Linked DNA regions of Macaca fascicularis. The protein of the gene in region 5 interacts with the protein of the main gene of each other region in a pairwise test. Links are inferred from orthologs where the notes say so. Each region holds a gene or a part of one and is shown on either strand. Other genes may lie near its edges.

Region 1 (4,961 bases), about 33 Mb from region 5:
CAGACCTCTGTGTGTGTGTATGTGTGTGTTTTTAGACAGAGTTTCGTTCTTACCATCCAGGCTGGAGTGCAATGGCATGATCTCAGCTCACTGCAACTCCGCCTCCCAGTTTCAAGCAATTCTCCTGCCTCAGCCTCCCGAGTAGCTAGGATTACAGGGGGCTGCCACCACGCCCAGCTAATTTTGTATTTTTAGTAGAGATGGAGTTTCACCATGTTGGCCAGACTGGTCTCGAACTCCTGGCCTCAGGTGATATGCCCGCCTCGGCCTCCCAAAGTGCTGGGATTACAGGCATGAGCCACTGCACCCAGCCCAGACCTGTGTGGTTTTTTAAATTTTTTTTTTTTTTTTTTTTGAGACGGAGTCTCGCTCTGTCGCCGAGCCTGGAGTGCAGTGGTGCGATCTCGGCTTACTGCAAGCTCCACCTCCCGGGTTCACGCCATTCTCCTGCCTTAGCCTCCCAAGTAGCTGGGACTACAGGCGCCCACCACCATGCCCGGCTAATTTTTTATTTTTTGTATTTTTAGTAGAGACAGGGTTTCACCGTGTTAGCCAGGATGGTCTCGTTCTCCTGACCTCGTGATCCACCTGCCTCGGCCTCCCAAAGTGCTGGGATTACAGGCGTGAGCCACCGCGCCTGGCCAGACCTGTGTTTTTAACGTTAAACTTGAAGAGTTGATGACTTTATTTTGATCAGAGGTTAAAGAGAATTCCACGTGTAACCCTGACACGCTGCACTTGCTGCTTGATAGACTGAAGTGTTACAGCTGGTGGTTCCAAACAACCTCCAACAGTGGGAGAACGCAGCGTGGACTAAGGCACCTGATGGAAGAGAGCCATGAAAACACTTCTGTGCTAGTGCTTCAGTGCAGTTCAACAAATACTAAAATCGAGCTTCCAGTATGTGCCAAGTATTATGCTAGATGCTGGAAATACCAGAAAAAAGAACCTGCCCCCTCTATACCCTTAAGGATTTATGCTTCTTAAATTTTTTTTTTTTTAAGACAGAGTCTCGTGTCGCCCAGGCTGGAGTGCCGCGGCGCCATCTTGGCTCACTGCAACCTCCGCCTTCTATATTCAAGCAATTCTCCTGCCTCAGTCTCCTGAGTAGCTGGGATTACAGGCACATGCTAATTATAGGCACGCCTGGCTAATTTTTGTATTTTTAGTAGAGACGGGGTTTCACCTTGTTGGTCAGGCTGGGCTCAAACTCCTGATCTTGTGATCCACCCGCCGCGGCCTCCCAAAGTGTTGGGATTACAGGCGTGAGCCACCGCACCCGGCCTATGCTTCTTAAATACAGGAAAGAAAAATATTTAGTTGTGATGATACAAATTAAATTATAGGGAAATACTGCAATGGCACAGTGGTTGCCTCACAAATCCTGGAGAAACTATCAAACTAGGCCATCAATCCCTATGGGGAAATCTGAAAACAGGTTTGTTAAAATGTATGAGAAATTTGTCCTTTGGACATAAAGATGATGCCACCAAACACTGCACTGCAACCACTAAGCAGCTTGGACTCTATAAGCGTAATAAAGGTGAATTACTTTGGTTAAAGTGATTGCATGTTAATTTAAGAAATTATCTTCCTCCAAAAGGGGTGCTCATTTTATTTTCCTTTTCTGAGTTATTCAAGTCTACACAGTTTCCTTCTGCCATGTTCAGTGGTTAGCATGAACAAGCATCATCATCATTTAATATTTAACTAAATGAGATGTTAATTTTCACTGCAAGATTAGAGCTGAAAACATTTACATAGAATTGCAGAAACCAAAGATGCCGGGAAAAATTCCTGAGGATTATTCACAGTGTTCAGTATAGCGGTTAAGAATGTTTGCTCTCGAGTCTTAAGGGGAACCCTAGCACTCCCCAACATTATCACCTCTATTGTGTTACTGGGAGATAAATGAGCAACTCTGTTATGGGCCTATCAGTGTTAGGCACATCAAAAGTGTTCCCCAATTGCTAGCTCCTGCTATTAGTATAAAAAAAAGTGGGGCCCCACTGGCCCCAAAGTGTTGGCTGCTCTATGATTGTTCTCTGGAGACACCATCGGCAGGCCTATTTCTAAGTGAAAGCTGGCATGCAAACTGAAGAAAAGTGGCAGAGGTAGAAGCGCTCTTCTGTCATTTCAACTGGCATCTGGTGAACTATGCGTAACAGCTTAATTCCCAACTGAAAAAAAACCGTTAACTAGGATGGTAAGGAAGGGATGGGGGTTTGAGGAGTGCCTACAACTCCTCCTTTTGAGTGTGTGGGTTCAAAAAACACTCCCTCCCCCACTTAGCTTTAGGCAAGCCACTCAACCGTTTCAACCTCCGCTTTCCTCATCTGGAAAATGGGATAACAAAAGTTACTCTCAGTGTAATTGGATTGTTTGTACCTCAATGGATAAATGCTGGAAGGGATGGACGCCCCGTTCTCCATCACGTGCTTATTTCACACTGCGTGCCTGTATCCAAACATCTCACGTACCCCATAAATAGATACACCTACTATGTACCCTCAAAATTAATCAATTTTTTAAAAGTTACTGTCTCCTAGAGTTACGGCGCAGAGCGCACAGCTCCCGCTACATCGCAAAACCACTACCACCTGCAGCAGCCGGCCCTCCGTGCTGGCCAAGAAAGGCGCTGGGCTACACAGCCTGCGAGGGGGCGGCTTCTCGGGCTCTGCCACTTACTGCGGGACACACTGGCTCACCCGGTCTGCCTCGGAGGAATGCAGTGAGGATTAAACTAGCTAATCCACGGAAAGCGCTTAAAACGGTGCCTGGCGCGTCCCTGGCCCCCATGCGCCTCGGGGCTGATATTCAACTGCGCATTAGCAGGGCCATGGGCCCCGCGCCGAGGCTTCCTGCGGGCGGGATCCACGGGCACGGCCGGCCCCGCCGCCAGGTGAGCCCGAGCCCTTCCCGGCACCTGCATCCTCAGCCGCCAGAAAAAGCAACTTTTTAACAGTTTCGCAGCGGGGGCCTCCCGGGCCAGGCCGCCGCCGCCCACCCGCCCGCCCGCGGGGCGCCCCCGCCCTCACCTTGCTGGAGGTCCTGGTGGTCGTACCACGGCTCGTCCTCCTTCATTTCAAACTCCTCCACCAGGTTTTCCGCCAGCATCTCGGCTGGGTCCTCTAGGGGCAACGGTCCCAGCCGCCGCCGTCCCGCCTCAGCCGCTGCCCCGGGCTCTTCCCCGGCCCCTCCGCCCTCAGCCAGAGCCGCCCTCGGGCGGGACGCGCCGCCGCCCAGGCTCCGCCGCGCCGCCTCAGCCCCGTTCCCGCCGGCGACCGCCGCCGACCGGCCGGCTGCTTCGACTCGCCTAGCGCCTCCCAACGGCCCCAACGGCCGGGCGTTACGGCGCGAACGTAGGGAGCCAGGTTCTCACGCTGCCGCCGGTCTTCACGCCGCCGCCGGGCCCAACGTGGCACTTTGGCAGAACCCTCCCCGGCCGGGGATGCGATTCAAACCCCCGGCGGCTTCTCAACCAATCGCGAGCGGGCCGCTGGCCGAGCGACAGGGACTTCGTCCAATCGCGTCTCTCCAAAGACCCGCGGCTCGCCCGGTTTCGAGGCCAAGCAGCCAATGACGGGCCCCGAATAAACAAAGAAGGCGGGGAAACAGTGAAGGGGTGCGGCCGAAAGCCCGCCCCCTGATCTGCGCTGTGCGGCTCCTAGGAGCGCGTACTAGGTTCCGGGCTGTGGAGCTGGCGGAGGCGAGTCCTGCCGCTTTGGTGGGTGTCCCGAGGCCAGCGCGTCCGTGGACAGGCAGCGCAGGCCGGAGGGCCTAGGACTTCGGCCTCTGAGAGGCGGGTGGTTGTCGAGAGGCGTCCTTCGTGCCGGCGGGAAGCGCGAGGGTGCCGGAAGCCGGAGGTCCGCCGCCCGGCTGCCGCTTCTCGCATGTTGACTCTGAGATTTGCTCCGGGTCCGGCAAGGAGACTCGGAGTCGATCGGGAGTTTAGGGCTGAGAAAACGCCCACTGAGCGGTAGCTCTTGTCTCGTTGACATCTGAGCTCTGGGAATTACGCTCCCTAAAACGGTGGGCGCCAGACCCCGTTGAGAATCTGGGGCAGTGAGGGATGCCCGAAGCTGTCCACTTGGAGGGGGAAAATTGTAAGCAGGGTTGCAACGATTTTTAAAAGGTACCTCTAGACCACAAGTTAAGCATCTGGGGACGTGGCATTGCACCTGGAGGGGTCAGGCTGCAGCCCCAGCACTTAGTAGCCAGCAAGGCAGAGCACGCTGTCCTCCACCGACATAACCCAGCAAATACTGCTCATGAGTAAAGCTTTTAGCACCATCTTACAGACAAAGCACGGAAACTCTTAAGCAGGATGACAGACCAGAAGGTCAATGTTCTCAACCTTGACGTAAAGGTAAAATTGCAGCTGATGGAAGACAGCAGGGCCAATATCTAGCTAACTTTGAGCAACGAAACAAAAAAATCGAGGTTTAAGTATATAATTGAAAGATTATCTCTAGAACATAAGGTAATAAACTGTTAGAAATTCGGAAAGAGGGAAGAGGTGGAGAGGAGTGTTAGTTAAATCCTGATCTATTTTAGCAGTGAGTCGACAGATAATACCTTACATTGATAATCCAATAAATCGTTTCCACAAATATGGAGAGAGCTGCCAGAACTAAAAATGGGAAGCAGTTAAGAGTTTTCCGAGGCCGGACGCGGTGGCTCACGCCTGTAATTTAGCATTTTGGAAGACCGAGGCGGGCGGATCACCTGAGGTCGGGAGTTCGAGACCAGCCTGACCAACTTGGAGAAACCCCCATCTCTACTAAAAATACAAAATTAGCCAGGCATGGTGGCGCATGCCTGTAATCCCAACTACTTGGAAGGCTGAGGCAGGAGAATTGCTTGAAACCCGGGAGGCGGAGGTTGCAGTGAGCCAAGATCGCACCGTTGCACTCCAGCCTGGGCAAAAGGAGCGAAACTCCGTCTGGAAAAAAAAAAAA
Region 2 (4,948 bases), about 26 Mb from region 5:
GAAAGGAAGATCTCTCTGTAGGGAAGGATGAGGTGTGTAGGGTGAGAGGCAAAGGTGTAAGTGAGGGGGAAGGGGTGGTGAAGGGAGTTGAGTCTTATGCCTCAAGGCCAACTGGATTCCAGGTTTGTTAGAGACACTGGTGGGTCTCGCAGAGGCGTTTGAACAAGAGCAACTCCATCTCGAATAGGAGCTGGGTAAACTGAGGCTGAGACCTACTGGGCTGCATTCCCAGACAGTTAAAAGGATTGTAAGTCACAGGATTGGGATAGGAGGTCAGCACAAGGTACAGGTCATAAAGACCTTGCTGATAAAACAGCTTGCAGTAAAGAAGCCGGCCAAAACCCACCAAAACCAGGATGGCAATGAGAATGAACCCTGTTTGTCCTCATTGCTACACTCCCATTAGCGCCATGACAGTATACAAATGCCATGGCAACATCAAGAAGTTACCCTATATGGTCTAAAAAGGGGAGGTATGAATCACCCACCCCTTGTTTAGCATACAATCAAGAAATAACCATAAAAATGAGCAACCAGCAGCCCTCGGGGCTCTGTCTATGGAGTAATCATTCTTTTATTCCTTCACTTTCTTAAACTTGCTTTCACTTTACAGACTCGCCCTGAATTCTTTCTTGCAGGAGATCCAAGAACCCCATCTCTTGGGGTCTGGATCAGGACCCTTTCCTGTAACAGGTCTAACCCCTTACAGACTCTCCCCACCTAAACTCAAACTGGAGCTGACCCTCACACACAGCAGTCCTTAAATGAGATGTGTGAAAGTTTCCAGAACTTTCACACATCTCCTTGCCAGGCCCGCAGTCAAGGACTCTCCTATCCCCTTGCCCTGAGACCCAATCCTAAAGACCATCTGTGGGGTTGGAACTAGAGGTTCCACCTCAGCAGTGCCCACCTCCTTCAACACCCAAACCCACAGTCTAACCCTGATGCCGGAAGCCTTCCCCACTCAACAGTAGGCATCGCGTGGAGTGCAAGAAGCCAGACATGATGGACAGCTTCCTGTCTGAATCCCCTCATATGAACCTGACGGGCACAATGAACCTGCAGGGTTAAACTCCGGACGCTGGCCACCCTCAGGGTGGAGATGACAGGACAGGACAGGACAGGACAGGGGCCATAGGGCTTCCGGGGGGCTCATGTTCCTTGACTTGGGGGCAGTTACAAGGGTATAGTGGGTCTTGTTGAAGGACAAAAGTTCAGTAAGTTCGTCCTGACAGGCCAAAGAAACCCAGAGCCGTCTTTCGACTGACTACAGCCTGGAATGGGGGCCAAGGCCACTCCCTGCCTCTATTGCTCCATTTCTGAGTTGGTCTCACTTCCCACTCCACCAACGGCACGCTGGGGAGGGGAGGGGCTATGCAAAAGAGGGCGGGGAGCGTGGGGTGGGGCCGCTCCTTGGAACGGAAGCGCTCGGCCTCGAGGCCCTTCCGGTGCGGGAGAAACTACTACTCCCATAATGCCCCGCGGTCCCGCGAGCAGCCAGTCTCGTCGCGAGAAGCAGCGGGCGGGGGCGTCTGAGCCGACAAACGGAAGTGTAGGTTACGGTCTGAGACATAACCGCCAAGCTGGGCGTCGGGGAGATGGCCGAGACTGACCCCAAGACCGTGCAGGACCTCACCTCGGTGGTAAGGGATGGCTGTGAGGGCCCGAGGCCGCGGCATTCTCGGGCGGCGCCGGGCCAGGCCCTGCTGGACAGAGGCGCGCCCACCGCGATCGCGCGTGGCGTCTGCCGAGGCCCCGTTTCTGGAAGCGTCTCTGGCCGAGGCTCCCGGCCACCTTGACCCCCTGGGCGCTCGGTGCGGACCCGTCTCCCCGCGGGCGCTCCCAAGCCCGACCCCCTCCGGTAGCCCCATTCACCTGTGGCGAACGCCCCCCGGGCCCCTCCTGCCTCCCTCTGACACCCTCCCCGCCCTTCGACTCCTTACACACCCCCGGGTGCCCCAACCCGGCAGAAACAGCCTAAAGACCCTGAACTTTGAGTCGCAGCGGCCTCCCCAGCCCACCAGTCTAATTAGACAGGTGGGAAAACGGAAGCCCCGAGAAGGAAGATCCTTGCTGAAGGCGGCACAGCTGCCCAGAGGCAGAAATGGGGCTGGAACCCGAGACCGGAGCTCACGTCCTGATCCCAGGAAGGTGTCTCAGGATCAGTGTGGACCATGTTTGTTTGTTTCGGTTTTTCTTAGGTGCAGACACTCCTGCAGCAGATGCAAGATAAATTTCAGACCATGTCTGACCAGATCATTGGGAGAAATATCCTTTTTATCTGTAGTGGGCCTCCTGTGGGCCTTTGGAGTCTCTTTGCCGGGCAGCGGTGGGGATAAATGAGTAGTTTTCAGGCCAGCTTCAGCCAGTCACTTACAGAATTTGAGCTTGGATTGTACTGTGTTTCCAAGAAGGACTGCGCCGAGAGCTCGGGGTACAGCTGAGCTAGACAGATCCCTGGCTCAAGGAGCGTACATCTACCAATCCTAATAGCTGGTGTGGTTGACCATGGACTGTGAACTAAGCGTTTTTGTGTGTGTCTTTCTTTTGATACTCAGCATGACCTTATGAGTGGGTTGTAGTGTTACCATCTTTAGCAAATGCATAAATTGAGGTTTAGGGGTTCCATCACTAGTAAGGGTCAGGGCCGGAAACCGATGCTGGGTAGCCATGCCCCAGAGGCCTATACTCTTACCCACCAGCCTGTAACAGTGTCTAAAGGAAATTGGAAGACCTGTTTCCCTAAAATCGTTGTGTTTAAGGCCGTAGTCTACAGGGACGGAAGGAAAGGGCTCAATGAGGAGATGTTGGCACGCGTTGTCTTTAACTTCACCACTTGATGATATGAGTAGTCGCATTGATGATCTGGAGAAGAACATCGCAGACCTCATGACACAGGCTGGGGTGGAAGAACTGGAAGGTGAAAACAAGATACCTGCCACACAAAAGAGTTGAAGGTGAGGAAGGGGGCAATTTTTTTTGTTGTTTCTTTTTTTCTTTTCTTTTTGTTTTTTTTTTTTTTTAACACGGAGTTTTGCTCTTGTTGCCCAGGCTGGAGTGCAATGGCACAATCTCGGCTCACCACAACCTTTGTCTCCTGGGTTCAAGGGATTCTCCTGCCTCAGCCTCCCGAGTAGCTGGGATTACAGGCTTGCGCCACGACGCCCAGCTAATTTTGTATTCTTAGTAGAGATGGGGTTTCTCCATGTTGGTCAGGCTGGTCTCGAATTCTGACCTCAAGTGATCCGCCCACCTCAGCCTCTGGAAGTACTGGGATTACAGGTGTGAGCCACCGTGCCCGGCCTTTTTTTTTTCCCTTAAAAGAATAGAACCTGTAAGTATAATTTTGATGTAGTCAGACATTCTGTAGATCAGTTCCCAGCCATGATCCCAGCAAACATCCCTGTATTCTTTACCCGCTGTGGACTTCATGTTTTGGAATTTTTCATGCCAAACTCATTCTTTACACTGAATTTATTTTCCCAGTTTTTATTAATTAGACTTCTGTCACTGTTAGTTAAGACAACTGGCTAACATTAGATAACCACTGAGTTTTTATCATTCCAGCTAATAAAGGGGTTTTTGTTGGCCTATAAAGCCTGTCACTGGAAGATTTTCCATTGCTTTTCTTGGGAGGCGGGGGGCGGTGGAGGGGATCGCTGATAAGTCGCCCACATTACCACCTTCTTAAATGGCTTAAATTCTGGAGACTTGCTTGGTAACTTGACATAGGTAAACTAGATTGTGGCCACATTAAGCTTTTACTCTGGAGTTCATTTAAATTTCCACTGAATAGTTTCAGATGTCAGAGGAAAGCCCATTAAAACTACCCAATAGCAAGATAGGTGCACTGAGTGCACAGTCCTTTTCCTCTGTATATGTGAAAAATAAGTTTTAAACTCCCTTTTCTCATGTTTCATGTATAACGTTTTAATTCTCTATAAAAATGAATGTTACCCAGGGAGGCAGAGGTTGCAGTTGAGATCGCGCCACTGCACTCCAGCCTGGGCGACAGAGTGAGACTCGTCTCAAAAAAAAAAACGGTTGCTGGCACGTGGTGGCTCATGCCTGTAATTCCAGCACTTTGGGAGGCAAAGGCGCGCAGATCACTTGATGTGAGGAGCTCGAGACCAGCCTGGCCAACATGGTGAAACCCTGTCTCTACAAAAATGGGCGTGGTGGTGCACGCCTGTAATCCCAGCTACTCGGCAGGCTGAGACAGGAGAATCCTTTGAACTCAGGAGGCAGAGTTTGCAGTGAGCCATGATCATGCTACTGCACTCCAGCCTGGGTGATAGAGCAAGACTCTGTCTCAAAAAAAAAATGAAAAAATAAAATCCTGAGTATTTTTAGATAGGTAGTGCACCAAGCAGAATATACAGTAAAAGATGCCTAGTTTCCTATTTTCTGGGCTTGCTCTGGACCACATTTTAAGTTACTGCGAAATACAGATTTGGGATGTTGAAGACACACTCTTAACTTTGCTTTTATCTTTACGATGGGTAGGGTTTATTCACTATGTGAGTACATCACATAACTGCTTTCTATGGGTGATGTCATCATTATTCTTATCCAGAGATAATTTGGAAAAATGTCCTACCAGTCTTCGATGCATCTGTGGGTCTCTTTTTATGTTATGTGGCAGCCAAAACTCCCATCAGCCGACTGAGAATCTTGCCACAAGAATTTCAGGATTGTAGACTGGCTAGTGATGGGGGTCATTCAAAGAAAAGAATGGGAGTAGGAAACTGACTCCAAAATTTTAAAAAATATTTCCAGTTAAATCTATTTTTGCTAAAATATTGTCCAAAGAAAATAAGTTTAACTCAATAGGAGAGTGTAAAGGGATTTTTAGTTGATAGTTCTGTATGTCATTTTTACTTGCACTCATACAATGAAAAACATGTTGATGATTTTTCCTTCTTCAACAGGTTGCTAATAATTTATA
Region 3 (5,001 bases), on a different chromosome or scaffold from region 5:
GAGACCATGGTAGGCAGTGTCTGGCCCCATGTCTACTCTGATCAGTGGAACAATACCTCAGGAAAACCTCTAATAACTCTCATTAACTTGGGGGGTTGTAATTACACCATACCCAAACAAGTTCTACTGTTCCTTACTAAATTCTAAGTTCTTTAAGGACAAGGTCTGTTTCTTAAATGACTCCATAGCCTTGGATTTGCAGGAGTGAAGTGATAGCTGGTACCCAACCTTAGGTTCAACATCTTCAATCTGCATCTTAACTCTTAGTGCTATCATCACACCACGGACCCAACACATACTTAACTCAGAATCCTAACTTGGCTCTACTATGGATACCAGGCAGGCTGCTCCCTGCATCTCATTGCCACCCATTTCCAACGCAGAAAGGAACACAGGGATTGGAGCCAGGCATACCTGAATTCAAATCCTACTTTCTTTACTAACCTGGTGTATATTCTAGGATGACCTCCTGCTTTTTTTGGTCTTTCTACCTTTCTGAGGCTGAATGTGGTAGAGGATGCTAGTTTTTCACCAATATCCATTCTTCCTCCTTTGTTCTAGAACTTCTAAGCTTCGTCTGATCATATGGTTGCCTAGTTACAGACCATATTTCCCAGCCTTTCTTGCTGTTAGTTGTAACTCTGGGATTAAGTTCTGGCCAATGGAAAATGAACAGAAGTGAGACCTGCCATTTCCATGTTATACTCCTAAAAGAAAATGTCTTACTCTCTCCTCTTGCCCTTCTCCTTCCCTATGGAAGGAGCACAGTCATGATGACAGAGCACACTTATGATGGTAGGAGCTGAAACAACCACTTTGGTCCTAGAGATAGAAATCGTTAGTGAAGATGGCAGAGTTGCCAAACCAATCCTGGTCTGCGCATCTTGGGCGAGCATAGCACCTGTGACAAGTATGTGAAACAAATAATCTTCAATCTTACTTAAGCTGCTGTTTTTGGAGTCTCTTTGTTATAAGAGCTTAGACTGTACTGTAATATATTTACTTTTCTTAGTTGTAAAACGATAATAATACCTAGCAGGGCTGTTGTAAGAAGGAGTATGCAGTAGCAGCTAAAAAGTGATAGCTATGATTGTTATTCAAACTTGTGCAGCTTTCTTTCAGCCTGACATTAAAGTTATGGTCTGGGCAGAATTTCTGAAAGTGAGACAACTGAAGTGGTGTGACTAGTGCCAAAGTCAGCTGCAATCAAGATTAGGCACTATACAACCACCCCTTCACCCCCTCATTCCCCAAACGCTGTGTTCAGCCAGTGGTCAGTTGGCTAGTGATTGGAAGACAAAACTCTGTGATGCTGGTAGCAGGTAAAGAGTTAGGACAGATATTTGTAAACAGGAATTTGATTTCTACAATGACAAATGCTATACAAATTTTATTTTTATCTCTTCGTGAAACTTTTGGTAAAATATCTAGTTCTTGATGATGTTTTTATGGAGTTGGATCTATTCTCAGCCTATGTTTAAGTGTTGAGTTCAGCCTTAAGGGGCAAGAGTAGAGGGAAACTTGAGATAATGCAGCAAAAAAGGAGCAAGCTGTCGAAGAGAGGTTGCATTGTGGTAATAGAAGAGCACATGAGGCCTGCCTCAGCATCCATCACCCTTAGATATTGGACAGTCACTAAGAGTTGGAAAACAGTGATTTTTTTGAGTGCAGATCTGTAGTGTCAAAATCAGAAACTCTCGCATTATAATTCTTAATTACAGTCACTTGATATTTCCTCTCATCTGCCTCACCAAAAATAATTGGCATATCCTTCTCTTAATAGTAAATTTCAAAATTCATGTGTTCTCAGGAAGTTTTTGGCATAGTTAAGTACATACTTATAAAACAGAAATTTCTCAGCACTTACCCCATTGTATTATGGGCTTGGTTCTCCATGTCAAGAAACTGCTACATCTGGTTTATATTTCTTGATTTTTAATCTGTTAGGGGGAAAATGATCCAAATTCCTAAAATGTTTACATTCATTAACCTATAAAACAGGAAAATTTAGCTACTGGCAAAACCCACTTAGTATGAGTTTTTCTGTGTAGTAGCTCTTGATCCTACAAAATATAGAAACTTGAGTTTTCTGTTTTGGTTTTTTGTTTGTTTTTTGAGACGGAGTCTTGCTCTGTCGCCCAGGCTGGAGTGCAGTGGCACGCTCTCAGCTCACTGCAACCTCTGCCTCCCGGGTTCTAGCGATTCTCCTGCCTCAGCCTCCTGAGTAGCTGGGACAGGCAATTGCCACCACGCCTGGCTAAGTTTTGTATTTTTAGTAGGGACGGGGTTTCAGCATATTGATCAGGCTGGTCTCAGACTCCTGACCTCGTGATCTGCCCACCTTGGCCTCCCAAACTTGAGTTTTTTTGTTTAGCGACCCCTATGCATTTATGATATTGACTTAGTGATGAATTGAAATATGTGGTACTGACTAAAATGAGCATCCATTTACTACTTATTGAATAATAGCTTGGTACTATATTGTCTGCAAAGGACTCAGTACATGAGAACGAGTAAAACAGAATTCCCATTAAAAGAGAAATTCTAGCCAGATGTTCTCAAACTTTCTATTCTTGTGGATCCAATAAAGGTGTGCCTTTATTTGAGTACATTCTTTCTTTGGCCCTCTCTGGATTTTGTTAGGATGAATATAACTATGAGATTTAAGACAAAAAGGCTACGAATGCCTTTAAAAAGAAATCTTGAAATTCTTCAATGGCTCTATGGGCACTGGCTCACCTCTTGACAAAATAGGGACGTTAGTATTTGCCTAAAGTAAAAAAAAAAAAATGTTTTTCTCAGTAACAAAATTATAGTTAAAAAATAATCTATGACGATAACTGGAGAAAGTATTGAGAAGGACTTCAACTCTTCCGAATCACTGAATAAAAGTCAATTAAAGAGCATTCAAGGAGGTAGAAAGAGGAGGAAGATTCGAGCTCGCATCACTTCCAAACCGAAGAGTTTAGGAGAGACCCTGGAACTGTGTGTGGGACAGAGCAGAGAGGAGCAAGGGATGGTGAAGGAAAACGTGACCAGAACGCGCAGACCTATAAATGGTTTTGTAGATTCTCAAATCTCTCACTTAAACGTCAGGGAAACTGAGGCACAGACAAGCTAAGTGGCTTGCCCAAGGCCACACGACTAAAGCCCAGGCCTTCCAACTTAGGGCGCAGCTCTGCTCTGGATATGCATGGGTGGGCCTCCCCTCCCAGCCTCTGTCCCCGCGCCACGCGCCCCTCCAGGACCCGCGCTCGGTTCAAGCCCAGCTTCCCACAGAGCGGCTGCCCTTTTGGGGTCCCCCTGTCCCGCTCAGGGACCCGCGCCAGCCCGGGGGACAGCCTGGCCTTTGGGTGAGGGTCAGGGGCGAGGCGTGGCCGGGAAGGCCAAGAGCCATTACCTGCGCTGCGCGGCGCTCGCCCGAGAGGTCTGAGGCCGGGGGCGCAGGACCGCGTAGGTCACCTCCCACCTGGCCAGGCCCGCCCCAAGGGGCCTCGCCACCCGCCTCTGCGCTCCCGCCGCCTGGGCCCTCCTGCCGCGCGACCAACCAGGCAGTTGGGCCTCTCCCTCCCAGCGCTCAGCGCTGCCGCTTGTTGCCATGGGGACGTCGCGGCCCGAACTCGTGGCCGTCGGAGTGGGGGATGGGCGCGGCGGCGGTAGGCGCTGCCCTGTGGGGGGTTCCTCGGCTGCCTTCAACCTCGCCCCGCGCGAGCGCGACCTCGCTATCCCGCAGTTATGTGTCCAGTGCCCCCTCTATTCTGGGTCCTTTCCTCATTGTAGTCCCACTGCCCTACCCCAGGGCCCGGCACCCAAGCTGCAGCCCGGAAATACTGGTTGAATAAATGAACCAAAGAGATCACGAAGGAACTGTAAACAGCTGGGATTCATCATCCAGGTTCTTTAAATCCCCTTGGCCCTCTTTCCTCTTACTCAAATTTGAAGTGGTATGAAAAAGAAATAAACTTGGGGTAAAGAGAACTGCTTTTCTCTCCGTGCACCCTAGTGTCTTACAGCTGGGAGGAGCTGGATTTCGTCGCTCAGCCCCGGTTCCTGTGGTGATTAACAGCATCTGCTTGTACCTGGCTTTCCAAGCGCGATGGGTCCTTAACTGCTAGTCAGGCGAGCGGACAGTGTTGCCTCCCTTCTGGGAGAAGGGAAGAGCTTCTAAGAGAAGCTGGAACGAAACTCAATGGGACTGACTCCGGATTCTTTCCTTTTTCCACCAAATTCCAAGAGTCATTGATGACAGAATTTCTGTCTCTCTTCATTTCATAGAGGAAATAATAGAAAATAATATATATTTTCCAACTGACATCTCGAGTGATTTGTTTTAAGCACTTGAATTTTGTGTTTGATTTATTTTAACCAAAGAATTCCTTCCTAATACATGGAGGCGACTACTTAATTCTTAAAGTCTTTTATTTGCACTTTACTTTCATCACTTTAATGCTAATTTGCTACTTTAATATTCCATGAATTTAATGCGCATCTACATCCCTCCGTCCAGGTTCCAACTGAATTTTATAAAACCATTATGCTGTTTCTTGACAAATTGAGCTTCATAGATGAATTGTATATAGTCACCTGGGATATTAGTTCTAATAAGTGTTTCATAGCTCTCATGTTTGCATGAAGAGGGTGACTGTGTTATCTTAACTTGAAACTTTTCATTATTCTGAAAACTCTTAGTTATTCTTGTCTGAATTGAATGGGTCACTGTATTTTTTTTCTAACCCAAGGAAGGGAAAATGAAACTAGCAACGAAATTTAATGAAATCTCAGGATGCCCAAGATCACTAAGGCTATGTAACATTGGTAAGTACTTCCATGTTCATTATTTCTTTAGAGGCTCAGAAATACACTCAGCAAGTGTATCAGGTGTTATTTATAGCTCCTTTCAGAAGATTAGGAAACCCAGGCTTAGAGAGAATGAAGGATATGTCCATGGACTTGTCCATCTATTTGCACTTGAAATGGATGATACCTCAAGATATAAACCTA
Region 4 (5,061 bases), on a different chromosome or scaffold from region 5:
ATCTCCTTTTTATTAAGAGATATCCCAGTATCTTCAAACAGGAATGACAATATATTTTTTTTTGTTTAGAAAGGGGATTACTGTGAAACTACCTGTTTGTATCACAGTCAGCGACAAAAGGAAAGAGTTCTATTCATTATCTCACCATGAAGGGCAGAAGCCTAAGCCTAAGTTGAATAGTCTGAACTGTGGTAGTGCAGTAAAGTTCTCAGCATACAGCTGTCCCTTGGCAACTGTGGGAGACTGGTTGCAGGACCTCCCTTGATACTAAAATCTGCATATGTTCACATCTTCTGTATAAATTGGCATAGTATCTGCATATAGCCCACACATATCCTCTTGTATACTTTAAATCATCTCTAGATTACTTAAAATACCTAGTACAATGTAAATGCTATGTAAATAGTTGTTATATTGTGTTTTTAAATTTTGTATTCTTTTTTTTTTATACTTTAAGTTCTAGGGTACATGTGCACAACATGCAGGTTTGTTACATATATATATACACATGTGCCATGTTGGTGTGCTGCACCCATTAACTCATCATTTACATTAGGTATATCTCCTAATGCTTTCCCTTCCCCTTCCCCCCTCCCCACAATAGGACCCAGTGTGTGATGCTTCCTTTCCTGTGTCCAAGTGATCTCATTGTATTCTTTTTATTGTTGTAATGGTTTTTTTTTGAGACAGAGTCTTGCTGTTGCCCAGGCTGGGGTGCAGTGGCGCAATCTCGGCTCACTGCAACCTCCACCTCCCGGGTTCAAGCAATTCTCCTGCCTCAGCCTCCCTAGTAGCTGGGACTGTAAGTGTTCGCCACCACACCTTGCTAATTTTTGTATTTTTTAGTAGAGACGTGGTCTCGAACTCCTGACCTCAAATGATCCACCTGCCTCAGCCTCCCAAAGTGCTGGGATTATAGGTATGAGCCACTGCATTGGGCCTATTTTTTATTTTTAAAAAATATTTCCCATTCGTGGTTGGTTGAATCCATGGGTTTAGAGCCCATAAACACAGAGAACCAACTGTATACACTCCTATTCTGTGAGGACAGAGGCAGCTTCCTATAAGATGCCTCTTGGAGTGACAGGTGCACACCCAGGTTCTTGAGCAACATCATCATCTGCATTATCTCCAAGATACTCAAGCTTGGGGGATAGATTGGCATGCCAGCAAATACGGAAGCCACAAGGACCACACCACTGGGAGAAGGGACAGAGAAGGTGTTTCCCACAATGTAAGAACCACTTCCACATGGGGGAGTCAAGTAAGAAATAAGTGAGTACGCCAAGCCATACATTGTAAGCCAGCAGTCAGCATTCCCCAGAACTAACGAGCCCCACAGACAATAGCCACAGGACTTACAGACAAGCAAACTGAGCCTGCATATTGCAATGACTCTTGGACACACCTTTACTGAGAACTCACATCACCAATGTGATCCCAGCGCAGCTCTCTTCAGAAATAATAGAACCTAAAACACATCCTATAAACACACCCCTTGGCACTTAAACAGAGTTTTTACTATGTTGATTTCCATTCACTCAATTTTGTTGTTGTTGTTTTTTCCTTCTATACGTTTCCTATATGTATCCTAATTCCCCATTAGTCTGGGGCTCATTGGGGGCAGTGACATTTCTTCCTCTGCATTGCACAAAAAAAAAAAAAAAACACAGAATGAACACATTCAATAAACCATGCTAAGTGTTTCCCCTCATAGTTAAAATGTGTCCGCACCTAATTACTCCATCCTCAGAGTTCTCAGATCTAAAAATGCAACCACAATCTCACCTCTGCTGATATGAAATTCTTCCTCAAATTTGTTTTACTCTAAAATCTTGGAATCACTTTCTTAATTCCTTGCCCAGTGGATACTGGGTATTCATATTTTAAAAGTATTTCTCTATATTTCAAAGTCTAGTTCTCGGTAGCAGTTTATTACAAGTGCCCAGGCTTCATGATTCATTTCCATGGGTTAGAACCCAGGGGCCTAAGTCACTAGCCCCAAATCTGTTTTGAGATATTTCAATTTTATTTAAAAGGTCCAAGGATCAGGGCTTTGCAAACAGATGTTGTTAGCTGTAATTCCACTGACATGACTCTCCCTCCTGCCGTTGCTCATTGGTGGCTGCAAGCCCAGCAAGGTCTTTTCAAGTCCTGCAACCTATATACCACCCAGGCTGGGGTTGGCATACCCGCTTATTGCTGTAGTTCCCCAGAGAAAGGGAAGGACCTGTCTAGGGGAGAAAGGTCAGAGTTCGGAGGAATCTGTGGCAGCACACATTCTTACCGCATCAAACTCCGCTTGATCATCCTCAGGCAGGTCGCTGGTTTCATAAACATCTGGCTCATTCCTGGCCTGCAGGTAGAAGCAGTGACCACCCAACCTCACTATCCAGCATCGCAACACCCCTTACCCCACTCCATTTAAATAAGCTAACGGAGAAGGCAGGGTGTGATGCCAGGGTTCTGTCCTTTCTCCTCCACCTGCCCCGTGAGTCAACAGTATGTCAATTCCCATGTCTCAAGGGGTAGGGATGACAGCGGAGACAACTGGGACCTGACAGTAAACGGTGAGTGTAAGTGATAGCAACGATGTTACCCTAAATCTAGAAGCGGGCAGGTCCTTGGCAATCACTACTGCCGAAGAAGGTGAGGGCTATCCTCCAATTAGGCCCTGTACACCACTACCCTGGCACAAGGATTGAGAGTGACTCAGGACCTTAGTACTCAAGGTCCTGTGTCCCAACCCACACCTTGAGAAGCAGGCAGGGCAGCACAAAAGGTACACGCCAGGATTGTCATGGGAGTGGGAGGTGGGGGAGGGCACAGGTTCCCCCAAGGATAGAGCTCCCGATCTGGCACAAGAGGGTTCTGCCATGGTAACCTTTTCCTTGTCAGGATGAAGGTAATCGCTAAGTGGTCTAGTGTGTGTGTCTGGGCTAGGGATGTGGGGGTCTTATGGAGAGATTTGGCGGGGGCATGGGCGGCGCTGACACGGATGGTGGAAACACCCGGGCACAAGCGGTCAGTACCCGGAGTCGATTTCTGGGCCGAGCTACCGGCGACTGCCGTAAAGGGGGCCTGGTGAGCCGTCCGGCTGCCCGGCCCAGTCGGGTCAGAAGAGTTCGGGGGGTGCTGCGGCCGGTCGGAGAACGAGCGGCGGGAGCCCTTGGGCGGAAGATGGGCTGCAGGCGGGAGGGGTCGCGGGCTGGTTTCTGTTGGGGGTCCTTGGGAGGTCGGGGGCGCGGTCCTGGGAAGCCGGGGCCGGCCTTGTACTCACAATGCCGGGAAGGTCGGCGTATTTAGGGTCCGCCATGGCGGCGGCGAGACGGGGCTGGGGGACCGTTGCCTCGGAGGAGCCGGGGCCGGTGTTCGGATAGGGGAGAGGCTGGGTTCGGGTCCCGGGCTAAGGCGGCGGCAAAGGGAGCGGCAGATGAGCAGGAAGTCTCGCGGCAGCAGTAGCACAGCAGAAGGGTAAAGCAAAAGTCGCGAGAACAGCCCCGCTGCCACACCCCTGGAGAGGCCGGGACTGGGGAGAACGAGGCCAGGGAATGAGGTAATGGCCAAGGGACGCCGCCAAGGATTGTGGGATGTGTAGTTTTGGTGTACCGGAGCTTGGGCGGGGAGCGACAATAACGAACCTTGGGAAGCTATTTCAGCTAGTCAATGAAAGAACATTTATAATTCCTGTTTTGGGCTCCCAGGAATAAAATGACTAGATTAAATCATACAGCTAGTCATAAGTGACACAGCCAGGGTTTCAAAAACAACAAGTTTGCTTGATACTGTGTATTATAAAAACAAAATAAAAACAAGAAGTAAAATTTAGTAAACGCTTAGTGTAAGTTAGGAATGAAAAAGTTAGGCAATCTTCTCAAGTAAGGGCTTTCAGATAATTTGAATTTTAGATAATAAGTAGGTGTGTGTGTGTGGTGTGTGGTGTGTGTGGGTGTGTGTGGGTATACTAACCCCCAAATAATTATGTATCTGAAATTCAACTTTAACTGGGCATCCTGTTTTTGTTTTTTGTTTTTCAAATCTGGCAATCTTATCTGAAGTTCATAAATAGATAAGTGGTGTCTCCATGTCTGTCTGAACACTCTGTGTTCTTAACCGCTTTGTTAATAGTTCTCAGACTTTTATTTATTTTTCAATTTTTTCAATTTTGTGGGTACACAGGTGTATGTATTTATGGGACATGAGATATTTTGATACAGGCATGCAATGTGAAATGAGCACATCACGGAGAAGAGGGTATCCATCCTCTCAAGCATTTATCCTTTAAGTTACAAATAATCCAATTACACTCAAGTTATTTAAAAATGTACAATTGAGTTATTCTTGACTATAGTCACCCTATTGTGCCATCAAATAGTAGGTCTTATTATACTTTCTAATTTTTTGTACCTATTCACCATTCTTACCTCCCGTTCTCAGACTTTTAAATTTCATCGTTCGGCCGGGCGCGGTGGCTCAAGCCTGTAATCCCAGCACTTTGGGAGGCCGAGACGGGCGGATCACGAGGTCAGGAGATCGAGACCATCCTGGCGAACACGGTGAAACCCCGTCTCTACTAAAAAAATACAAAAAACTAGCCGGGCGAGGTGGCGGGCGCCTGTAGTCCCAGCTACACAGGAGGCTGAGGCAGGAGAATGGCGTAAACCCGGGAGGCGGAGCTTGCAGTGAGCTGAGATCCGGCCACTGCGCTCCAGCCCCGGCGACAGAGCGAGACTCCGTCTCAAAAAAATAAATAAATAAATAAATAAATAAATAAATAAATAAATTTCATCGTTCAATAAAATTAAAACAACTACAAACCTTGAAGATTTACTTTCTTATCAAGTAAGTATATTACAAACAGAAAACCTACTGTTTACTGTCACAATCATTACTTAGTAGAAAAGCAGGAAGGACACACTCAGAATAAAAGATAGTCTTTTGAAACTTATCAAATCCAGCTTTATATTAAACAACAACAACAACAACAACTCACCATTGTTCTTTTGGAGGTGAAGGCATACTCAGTGAACTTTTGTCTCTGACCAGTGACCCTCCATGGAC
Region 5 (5,113 bases):
CACAAACATTTAAAATAAAATCAAGGCCAAATGCAGTGACTCACACTTGTAATCCCAGCACTTTGGGAGGCTGAGGCAGGCAGACCACTTGAGGTCAGGAGTTGGAGACCAGCCTGGCCAACATGGTGAAACCTTGTCTCTACTAAAAATACAAAAATTAGCCAGGTGTGGTGGTGCATGCCTGTAGTCTCAGCTACTCAGGAGGCTGAGGAGGAAGGATGGCTTGAATCCAGGAGGCAGAGGTTGCAGTGAGCTGAGATTGCGCCACTGCACTCCAGCCTGGGCAACAGAGTGAGACTCTGTCTCAAAAATGAAATAAAATAAAAACAAGCGGGGCAGGTGGAGCTCCCTTAATTCCTCCCTAGGAAATTCTATAAAGGCAGAGTAAAATTTAGAAAATCAAACTGGGGCAGTGGCTCACACCTGTAATTCCAGCACTTTGGGAAGCAGAGGCAGGTGGATAACCTGAAGTCAGGAGTTCAAGACCAGCCTGACCAACGTGGCGAAACCCCATCTCTACTGAAAATACAAAATTAGCTGGGCATGGTGACATATGCCTGTAATCCCAGCTATTCAGGAGGCTGAGGCAGGAGAATCGCTTGAACCTGGGAGGAGGAGGTGGCAGTGAGCCAAAGATCATGCATTGCACTCCAGCCTGGGCAACAAGAGTGAAACTCTGTCTCAAAAATTTTTAAAAATTTAAAAAAAGAAAATCAAACTGGATATCCAAATGATAATTAAATTACATATGTTCATTCATTACCACTGCTGTTACCAGAAAATGGGTCTTGTCCCAGACTCCAAGAGTGGGCTCTTAGATCTCACTTTCTCGGGAAAGAATTCAGGGCAAGTTGCAGAGTACAGCAAAGTTAAGATAGTTTGTTAGAGACTATTATGGAGTAAGGCTTCCTCAGAAAGCAAAAGGAGGAATGCCCCTACTTTAAAATTTTTATTTATTTATTTATTTATTTAGATACAAGATCTCACTCTGTCACTGAGGCTGGAGTACAGTGGCACTATCATGGCTTACTATAGCCTCAATTTCCTAGGCTCAATTAATCCTTCCACCTCTGCCTCCCAAGTAGCTGAGTTACAGGTACACACCACCATGGCTGGCTAACTTTTGTATCTTTTGTAAAGATAAGGTTTTTTCATGTTGGCCAGGCTGGTCTTCAACTCCTGAGCTGAAGAGATCCATCCATCTCAGCCTCCCAAAGTGCTGGGATTACAGGCGTGAGCCACCATGCCTGGCCAAGAATGCCTCACCTTAAACATAGTGCTTGCTTATATAGGTTGTTAAGAATAGCATACTTCATTACAAAGACTTTTGATCAGCTTGTGACGGGCTATTAGTATTGTTATTTTCCTATGTTACTACTGATTTCCACAAGAATTTATGTGTGTACTATTATCTTTAAAGTAAAATCTATTCTTAAACTAAGAATGCTTTTTGTTCTTGAAATATTGGGACGTTTCCATAAGTTCTGGGTCTTTATTTGGTAAGTTAGCATCATTAACTCATCCCCTCAACCATAAATATCTTGTGACCAACAGTGTCAACCCCCTGGGAATGCTGCCCAGCAGGATTGGCTTTACTTAGCCTTTATTCAGGATGGAGTCTCTCTGGTCAGGACATCTCTGACACTATTAACCTTCTATCTCAATGTCTTTCCCTCTCTCACCACGCAACCTTAGATAATTAATTTGTTAATTACCAATCTCATAAATGAAACAATGCTGACCAGGGCAAATGGCTGGTCTGGATGTTCCCAAGGATGTATTGCAGGCGGCAGGAAGGACGATGGACCCAGCATCCACTTTACCCGGGGACGATCATAAAACAATTTGCACCATGGTACTGAGGGCCAGAAGGCCAGAAGACAGCCATGTGATCAAAATAATCTTTCCTAGGCCAGGTGCGGTAGCTCACACCTGTAATCCCAGCACTATGGGAGGCCAAGGCAGGTGGATCACTTGTGGCCAGGAGTTCAAGACCGGCCTAACCAACACGGCAAAACCCTGTCTCTACTAAAAATACAAAAATCAGCCGGGCGTGATGGTGTGCACCTGTAATCCCAGCTACTTGGGAGGCTGTGGCACGAGAATCACTTGAACCTGGGAGGTGGAGGTTGCAGTGAGGCAGGATTGTGCCACTGCACTCCAGCCTGGGCAACAGAGTGAAACTCTGCCTCAAAATAATAAAAATAATAACAATAATGTTTCCCACAGGTAAAATATTTTCAAGCGGAAGGAGTGGAAGTACTAGCCAGTCATATATATAGATCATCAAGGAATAAGGATGAGCTTCCGGAAGCGAATTCTGGCAGCTGGGCTTACCTGCTACTCCCTGGGAGCTTTTTGGCGCCTTTATTATTATTATTATTGTTCTTTAATTTTCTGTCTGGAATAGCTGGGACTACAGGTGCACACCACCACATATGGCTACTTTTTTTTTTTTCTTTTAGTACAGACAGGGTCTTGCCCAGGCTGGTCTCAAACTCCTGAGCTCAAATGATCCTCCCGCCTCAGTCTCTCAAAGTGCTGGGATTACAGGTGTGAGCCACCGTGCCTGGCTGAGATTTCATCAAGCTACTTAGAACATCATGCAACTTAGAATTTATGAATTGTTTATTTCTGGAATTTTCCATTTAATATTTTTGGACCTTGGGGCCTAACCAACACGGCAAACCCTGTCTCTACTAAAAATACAAAAATCAGCCAGGTGTGATGGTGCGCACCTGTAATCCCAGCTATTTGGGAGGCTGTGGCACGAGAATCACTTGAACCTGGGAGGTAGAGGTTGCAGTGAGGCAAGAGGGTTACTGAAACCTCAGAAAGCAAAACTGTGGATAAGAGAGGATTACTATACTGCCATAAAGTTGCATTTTTAAAATAATTTCAAACATTGTATCCAAGTAATATGTGTATTCAATTAAAATTTCATCCCTTCAGTGTTTTATAAGTAATTCAAATACCAGAGTGGTAACCATCTTCTAGGAATATTAGTTACAATCCCAATCACTGTTTTTCAAAAAGATGTTGTCAGTCCTGCTCCTGAAATTTCTCTCCAACAGGTCTCCTCCTCCCATTCCCACTGCCCCAACCCAGCCAGGCCCTTACCTCGCACTGCTCCGGGACGCCAGCCTCCAATCTGAGGCTTTCCTGGTGTCTGGGCTTCCATGCAGCTGTCAGAGTGTTCTTCCTGAAAAGAAACTCCATCCATGCCATTTTCCGAGCAATACGCTTTACTGGGTTGTCCTGTAGCCTTCAGGATAAAGTACAGATTCCTAAGCATGACACCTCGGATGAAGTATTTTCCAGTCTGTTCCCTCCTTTCCAGATTACCACCTGCCCCTTTGACCCTGCCCTTTGGTCATTAGCTACAATCAGCTGCTCTCTCCAGCAAGCCTCACTAGCTCTCCAAGCCTTCCCCCATGATGCTCTCTGCCCAGACTGCCCTTCCTCCTGTTCCTCTGCCTACAAGATCCGACGTGCCCTTCAGCCTCCAATGTTAGTTCACCAAAATCTTCCCTTTGAATTACGAATGCAGCTGGCTGCAAACTCCTCCAAGTGACCAGAGTGTCCTATAATCACCTCTATGATAGCATCTTTGATTTAGGGGGTGATTTTTCTTTTTTTCTTTTCTTTTTTTTTTTTTTTTTTTTTTTTTGCATTTCTGAATTTCCTAAGAGAATGTGAATTCCTAGAATCCTAGGAATTCTCATCTGATTTTTATTCCCAACATAGCACCATGCAAAGCAAAAAGTAGGTACCCAATAACTGCTTTTGGAATGAATGAATGAATCAATGAATGGTACCATGCAGCTGCCAAAGTGCTTTCTGCAAAGCAACTCTGACCTTGTTGCTCTCTGAGCTGTGCTCCTTCCTGGGTGATGAGGTAACACTGGAAGCTATTAACAGATAAGAGAGAAAAAAAAAGGAGGGGAGAGATCTCTGGGGCTCTGACAAATTACTTATTTTCACTGAGTTTCTGTTTCCTCATTTGTAAAACAAAAGTGCTGCCCGGATGAGCTCTGAAGGCATCTTCCAGTTCTCAAATTCCAGCCTGCTTGGCTCCCAAACAACTTTCCTGGAGTCTCTGGCAGCTATAACCCAAGTCTTAGCACCATCTAGTGATAAACAGGCACACAGCTGGGAGGGAAGGCCGGGGAGTGGGGAGGGTGGATAAGAGAAGGAATGCCAACCTTAATTATATTATGAGCTGGCAAGGAATTAGGTCAAACCTGCAAATACGAAGTTAAAACTAAGAGGCCTAACTTTATCCTGGGGATGGAATAACTAATTAGCTTCAGAACATGGATGAAGTAGACAATTATAGAATGCCTGAGACATGGAAAAGACAATAAAACAATTCCTGTGTACCCTGGCCCTCTGGTTCTTTTATCAATTTACTGCTTGTTACTGTAATTAAAGTTTTCTTGGGAGGACATGTGCTTTTGAAGGGCCTATGGCATGGGACTCTAATAACTCAATAAAACCACAAATTTATTAAGAATATATATGTATTTTTCAAATTTCTTCTTATTTATTTATTTATTTGAGACAAGGTCTTGCTCTGTTGTCCAGGCCGGAGTGCAGTGCCATGATCATGGCTCACTGCAACCTCGAACCCCTGGGCTCAAGCAATTCTCCCACCGCAGCCTCCTGAGTAGTGAGGACTACAGGGATGTGCCACCATGCCCAGCTAATTTTAAAATTTTCAGCCAGGCACGGTGGCTCACGCCTGTAAATCTCAGCATTTTTGGAGGCTGAGGCAGGTAGCTCACGCAGTCAGGAGTTTGAGACCAGCCTGGCCAGCATGGTGAAACCCCATCTCTACTAAAAATACAAAAATTGGCTAGACATGGTGGTGCGTGCCTGTAATCCCAGCTACTCAGGAGGCTGAGGTAGGAGACTCTTACCCCGGGAAATGGAGGTTGCAATGAGCCGAGATCCTGCCACTGCACTCCAGCCTGGGCGACAAAGCGAGACTGTCTCGGAAAAAAAAAAAAAAAAAATTCTTTTTTTCAATAGAGATTGGGGTGGGGGAGGTCTCACCATGTTTTGCCCAGGTTGGTCTTGAACTCCTGGCCTCAAGCGATTCTCCCACCTT
Region 6 (4,878 bases), on a different chromosome or scaffold from region 5:
CCTTGGGTAGGACTCAAACCCACAGTCCTAGACAAGGGTGGGACTCTCATCCATAATCCTAAACCACAGGGTGGGACCTGAACCCACAGTCCTTATGATGAGTTCAAAGACAATTAAAAGTACAGGTACGTATTAACAAGGTACTCACCAGAAAGATGTCTAATCCAGAAGCAATTTCTTTTCCCAAAGGAAAAGTGCCAAGGGAACCTGAAGTGCCATGGTAGAGAAGCAGGAACCCTATAGTTGAGCCTCTGAACGCACTGGTCTAGGTGGCTACTCAGGATCAGTGCAGGGGGCCTGCACACCACTAGGGGCAACAGTACCTTGAACAGGCTGTTCGTCTCACCTGGGGTTCTAGTTTGTTATCAAGCAAAAGGGGCTCACTGCCCAATATGCTAGAAGCCAATACTGACACCAAGTTTTTGAAAAAAAGAAAAGCTTTATATTAAAAGTCACCTCTGAAGGAGGCAGGAGTCAAGCTCAAATTTGTCTCTCTGTGCTGGCATTAAAGCAGTATTTTTATTGGAAAAGGTTCAGGGGGTGGATTCTGAGATTAGCAGGTGATTGGTACAAGGAAAAGGGAGGTCTGGAAAGTCCTTGGGCATGCACAGTTATTTCTTCATGTTAACTCCTGAGTTGCATGTGCAAATTCAGGGGGAATTAGTACAAAACATGTGGTGGAAATTCAGGCTACGACATCAGCAAGCTTATTGTGTGCAAGCTCCAGTCAGCCATTTTGGTTCCAACCAATTTCCGCCAGGTTTTTCTAGATCTCACAAGTGGAGGGAGTTTCAGCAGCTTAAATTTCTTTTCTTATCTGCTATCCCGAAACTCAAAAATTTCTGTTAGTTACTGATTTCTTACTCTTTGGGACTTTCCATATCTCCCATTTCCATCTACCAATCACCTACTAATCTCGGAATCTACCCCCGGAAACTTTTCTAATAAAAATACTGCCTTAATGTCAGCACCGAGAGACCGGTTTGAGTTTGACTCTTGTCTCCTTGGGAGTTGACTTTGAATATACAAGTTTTTCTTTTTTAAAGAACGTAGTGTTTTAGTATTGGCTTCTATTGCATTGGGCAGTAAGCCCCTTCAGCTCTATCACACTAACTCCAGGTAGATAGCATCAGAATGAAATGGAATTGTAGGGCACACAGTTGATGTCAGAGAATTAAGGAATTGAGTAGTGTCAGAAAACACCTCAGACTATACTTTCTCGCTTGGTGTGGGAAGAGTTCAGTTGTGTTTCCTTCTTCTTGAGTGACCGAACTCCAAGAAGACGCCACTTCTGGAGAGAAACTAGGGGTCTCAACTTAGCCTGGCAGTGAGAATACAAATGGCAGCTGGGATGACCCAACAGGGGGCTAATGTTTGAGCTATTGTGTGTCACACTGACCCTGACCGGCCAAGTAGTCACAGCCCCCACAGGTTCTTCCTGCCTGTCAGATGCCTCATTCCCACCTGTGATGCTCAGACAGAAACCATGAGCCCTGAAAAACACCCTATTGTTTTGTGATGTCACCTCTGGAATGTTCTGAGTGTTTTGGTGACCAACTTCTGCATAGGACCTATACCTGGCAACTCACATTGGTATGGCTTTTTACTTGAGATAGAAATAATCATCTTAGGCAAGCAGGTACAGTTATCTCCGCGTCAAAGACTTTCAAAAGTCTTTTACATCAACTATAATATCTAGCTTAATATCTGTTCAGAGATTGATAAACCGTCTTGCCAGATATCGTCTACACATTCTTCCAGACTTTCATAATTGTACATAACTGACAAGAGGGAAATAAATGAGGAGAAAGTTCTATGTTTTTTAGGTGAGCAATTGAGGCCCAGAGGATGAGTTGGGAAGCAGCAATCTTCTTCTTTTCTCTTTTCCACAGCACTCAAGGCCAAATTTTACAAGAAAAAGAGATACCAGATCTGAAAGCCTAGAAATTCCAATCAATGTGGTTCTACCTCAGGTAGGGATAATCACAGAGGATGTAACCTATCGGTGTTAGCCAGAATAACCCCCTACCTCCTCCTTCAAAACTCTAGCAAGATGTTGTAGAATAAGCAGAGATAGGGCTTCAGGTTCTAGTTTGGGTTGGCTGCCAGCAGGCAGCGTGCTGGGGAAGGCCACATAGCCCCTGTGGGCCTTGGGTTCTTTTTCCCACGAATGAGGTGGTTGGGTCAGATGGTTTGGTAAGAACTTCCAGTCCTAACATTCCAAGTTTCTATGATACTCTGAAGTAACCCAACCTTCTCAAAACGAGACCTTTTGGTGCTTAGTGTTGTGCATTCACTTTGGATTTCTAGAGGAGAATTAGAACTGGGACTTGGAATCAAATGCATAAGAATGAATCCATGAGAAGAAAACCTCCTTCATGGACAGAGGGGTACAGAGTTATTTGGAGTTGTCAAGAGAATTAAGCCCTGCTATGCACCAAAGACAGATGTAGGGGCCATGGGCATAGATGCTTTTGTGGTCAATGAATTGGTGAAGTCCTCACAGGCTAGAGATTCTCAGGTCTCCTCCTGCCTGAAATCAGCTCTTTCCTTAGTGGAGTCTTCTTGATTGAATTGTGTCTACTGATGCTATGTCACAAAGGGGTGGCTTTGCTTTCTCCAGAGTCACCTAAGGCCTCATTGGAAGACCAGGGCCATGCAACCAGAGGGGTTGAAATGTAGGATGGAGGAATCCAAAGCAGAGGTAACTATCTGAGAGCTCTGTCCAGGGATGTGTAGGAGGAGGATTGACCACTGGTGAGCATTCCAGATATAATTGTAACAATCTAGGCAAGTATGTTCAGTGGGAGGCAAACATATGGAAGAAGAAAACATCCTGGATGTTTATTTTCACATTATCTTTATAACTTTGTAATGAACAGTCACTTTTCTATGACTTGAATCTTAGCTAGAATATAAGATAACTTCCCCCTGATCATTCGACAGGATAACAAGCTGTAGGAATCTTTTTGGGCCTGATTCTTTCCACCTGAAATATGCAGGGAGTTGTGTTGGCCACTGCTTCCCCAAGAGTGGGTGTTACTGCTGTGATGCCTCATGGCCCATATAAACCAATCTTTTCTTCCAGAATCCTGGGGCCTCTCAACTTTACATGCTTTGAAAGTACCTCAGATGGCTGAACGTTCTCTGATAGTAACCCTCAGTAATGTTGGCAAAGTTGGTGTTTAAGAAACTTGGTCAGGCAGAGGATGCCAACCTAGAGGTGGGTGTGAAGGAGGGGATAGGATTTGAAAGAGTAGTGGTCATGTGATAGAGAAATTGGAATGATGTTTCCATCAACACCTACCGTAACTTTCCCTCCCCAGCTCCCAGAAACAGCCCAGCAATCAAAGAGAAGAGAATGTGGTTTAAGACAGCTCAAGCTTGTCTTGGGGCTGCCTGATTACTGTTCTGGAGGACCTGGTGCTGCTGCTGGGGTCCTGTGGGGGCAGAGTGGGTGAAGAATGAGAGGATATCTCCTGTCTGGGCATGTGTACCTCTCACGGGAAGGTGTATACACCTGCCAAGAGGGCACAAGCCATGCACCAGGTTTTGGACACCTGTCAGGATGCTCAAGACTGGCACTCTGGGGACGGGTGTGGGTGTCTACAAGTAGATAATCTGAACCAAAATACCACCAGGGCTGCGAGAGGGACCAATGTGCTCACTCGGCCTCCCTAGATGAGATGGTGCATGGCTTAGGGGACAGGGTTGATCTGGGAAGCAAGGAGAGGAAGAAATATCGACTGAATGTTAGTGCGATCATGTGTTGAGCACGGTGCCAAGTAAGTGTGAGGTAGAGATTTTACAGGTACAGGAACTGGCAACCCCAGGAACCCCACTAGTAATGGCAGAGATGGAGGAAGGGGCTTGAACTCCAATCAGTGCCCATGTTCTCCGCTATACCAGGGCACATGCCACTAAGCTGGGCCACGCTGCATCTTAGCTCTGTGGTTCTTCTTTTGCTCTTTGGAGATGGAGTCTTCTCCCCGCATCTTAACCGCTCATCTCTGGGCTTCTTATTTTGTATTTGCCAAAAGCTACTCTATTCTGGGATGGAATCCACTTTCCATTTGTTTCAGAAAGGACTTGTGGCAGCAGCTCTGTCTCTAGAAAGTGCCTCTGCTTCCCAGCTCCCAGTCCTGCTGTGTGTTTAGGCTTCTCAATTACATTGCAAATGCCTGTGATCACTACTTGTTATCACCCTTAGGTCTTTTCAGGACGCATTGATTTCCCGTTTTTCTTCCTCACATTAAATATTTGTGTTTTCTGATCTATTTCCCTCCAGCACATTAACTTGCAAGCCATCAATGCCATTTCCAGCCCAAGCTAGCTGATCTCCTGGTTCCTTTTGCACGTAATGATTCAGTTCTCAAAGACTTTCACATTTCCCCAGTGAGCATGCTCTGTGAATTTCATTAAGGCATTGTTTACTCCTAGATCATTAATGAAAGAGCTACACCAGGTCAGACTGAGCTCCAATAGCACACACCAGTGCCATCTTCATCCTTCCCAGTTGCCTTTTCTCCTTCCCCTTTGTTTGGGCTTGTTCCTCAGAAGCAGTGAATTCCTGCTGACAGCAGCCAGATCGCCGCCAATTTGAATAACGGTTCCCAGGAAGATTTCACAAGAGTCTCTGTTAAACAGTATGCAAACATACTACATATGACATCTTCTTTATCCTGTTTGCTGTTAACGTTGTAATTCTATCAACATCGATCACATTTACCTTGTGAATTATCCTTTTACCTGTTAGTATTTATTAAAACCACCACTGACTTTGCCATGGTACCGGGGAGGTGAATTAATTTAAAATAATGATAATGAGACTCAGTCTTGTCATCTCATATGAAAATCAGTAGCATATTTGGCTTTTCC

What was found.
Region 1: the proteins of KIFC3 (region 5) and CDR2 interact in binary tests that used the Homo sapiens proteins (3 or more experiments, as listed by UniProt). The two-hybrid records come from large-scale screens. The link is inferred for Macaca fascicularis from reciprocal best matches to the Homo sapiens genes KIFC3 and CDR2.
Region 2: the proteins of KIFC3 (region 5) and HSBP1 interact in binary tests that used the Homo sapiens proteins (3 or more experiments, as listed by UniProt). The two-hybrid records come from large-scale screens. The link is inferred for Macaca fascicularis from reciprocal best matches to the Homo sapiens genes KIFC3 and HSBP1.
Region 3: the proteins of KIFC3 (region 5) and DEUP1 interact in binary tests that used the Homo sapiens proteins (3 or more experiments, as listed by UniProt). The two-hybrid records come from large-scale screens. The link is inferred for Macaca fascicularis from reciprocal best matches to the Homo sapiens genes KIFC3 and DEUP1.
Region 4: the proteins of KIFC3 (region 5) and DCTN2 interact in binary tests that used the Homo sapiens proteins (3 or more experiments, as listed by UniProt). The two-hybrid records come from large-scale screens. The link is inferred for Macaca fascicularis from reciprocal best matches to the Homo sapiens genes KIFC3 and DCTN2.
Region 6: the proteins of KIFC3 (region 5) and CBY2 interact in binary tests that used the Homo sapiens proteins (3 or more experiments, as listed by UniProt). The two-hybrid records come from large-scale screens. The link is inferred for Macaca fascicularis from reciprocal best matches to the Homo sapiens genes KIFC3 and CBY2.

What each region holds. Positions count from the first base shown.
Region 1 is NC_088394.1:21,363,392-21,368,352, forward strand, and holds the start of CDR2 (cerebellar degeneration-related protein 2), read right to left. Parts: upstream 3,432-4,961; 5' UTR 3,118-3,431; coding exon 3,039-3,117; intron 1-3,038.
Region 2 is NC_088394.1:79,684,477-79,689,424, forward strand, and holds the start of HSBP1 (heat shock factor-binding protein 1), read left to right. Parts: upstream 1-1,517; 5' UTR 1,518-1,598; coding exon 1,599-1,643; intron 1,644-2,201; coding exon 2,202-2,268; intron 2,269-2,836; coding exon 2,837-2,955; 3' UTR 2,956-2,957; intron 2,958-4,931; 3' UTR 4,932-4,948. UniProt on the Homo sapiens protein: Negative regulator of the heat shock response. Negatively affects HSF1 DNA-binding activity. May have a role in the suppression of the activation of the stress response during the aging process.
Region 3 is NC_088388.1:92,363,864-92,368,864, reverse strand, and holds the start of DEUP1 (deuterosome assembly protein 1), read right to left. Parts: upstream 3,432-5,001; 5' UTR 3,401-3,431; intron 1,941-3,400; 5' UTR 1,897-1,940; coding exon 1,868-1,896; intron 1-1,867. UniProt on the Homo sapiens protein: Key structural component of the deuterosome, a structure that promotes de novo centriole amplification in multiciliated cells.
Region 4 is NC_088385.1:64,354,045-64,359,105, forward strand, and holds the start of DCTN2 (dynactin subunit 2), read right to left. Parts: upstream 3,432-5,061; 5' UTR 3,317-3,431; coding exon 3,281-3,316; intron 2,357-3,280; coding exon 2,288-2,356; intron 1-2,287. UniProt on the Homo sapiens protein: Part of the dynactin complex that activates the molecular motor dynein for ultra-processive transport along microtubules. In the dynactin soulder domain, binds the ACTR1A filament and acts as a molecular ruler to determine the length.
Region 5 is NC_088394.1:53,965,874-53,970,986, forward strand, and holds the start of KIFC3 (kinesin-like protein KIFC3), read right to left. Parts: upstream 3,325-5,113; 5' UTR 3,229-3,324; coding exon 3,121-3,228; intron 1-3,120. UniProt on the Homo sapiens protein: Minus-end microtubule-dependent motor protein. Involved in apically targeted transport. Required for zonula adherens maintenance.
Region 6 is NC_088391.1:24,906,490-24,911,367, forward strand, and holds the start of CBY2 (protein chibby homolog 2), read left to right. Parts: upstream 1-1,447; 5' UTR 1,448-1,518; coding exon 1,519-1,593; intron 1,594-1,892; coding exon 1,893-1,973; intron 1,974-4,878.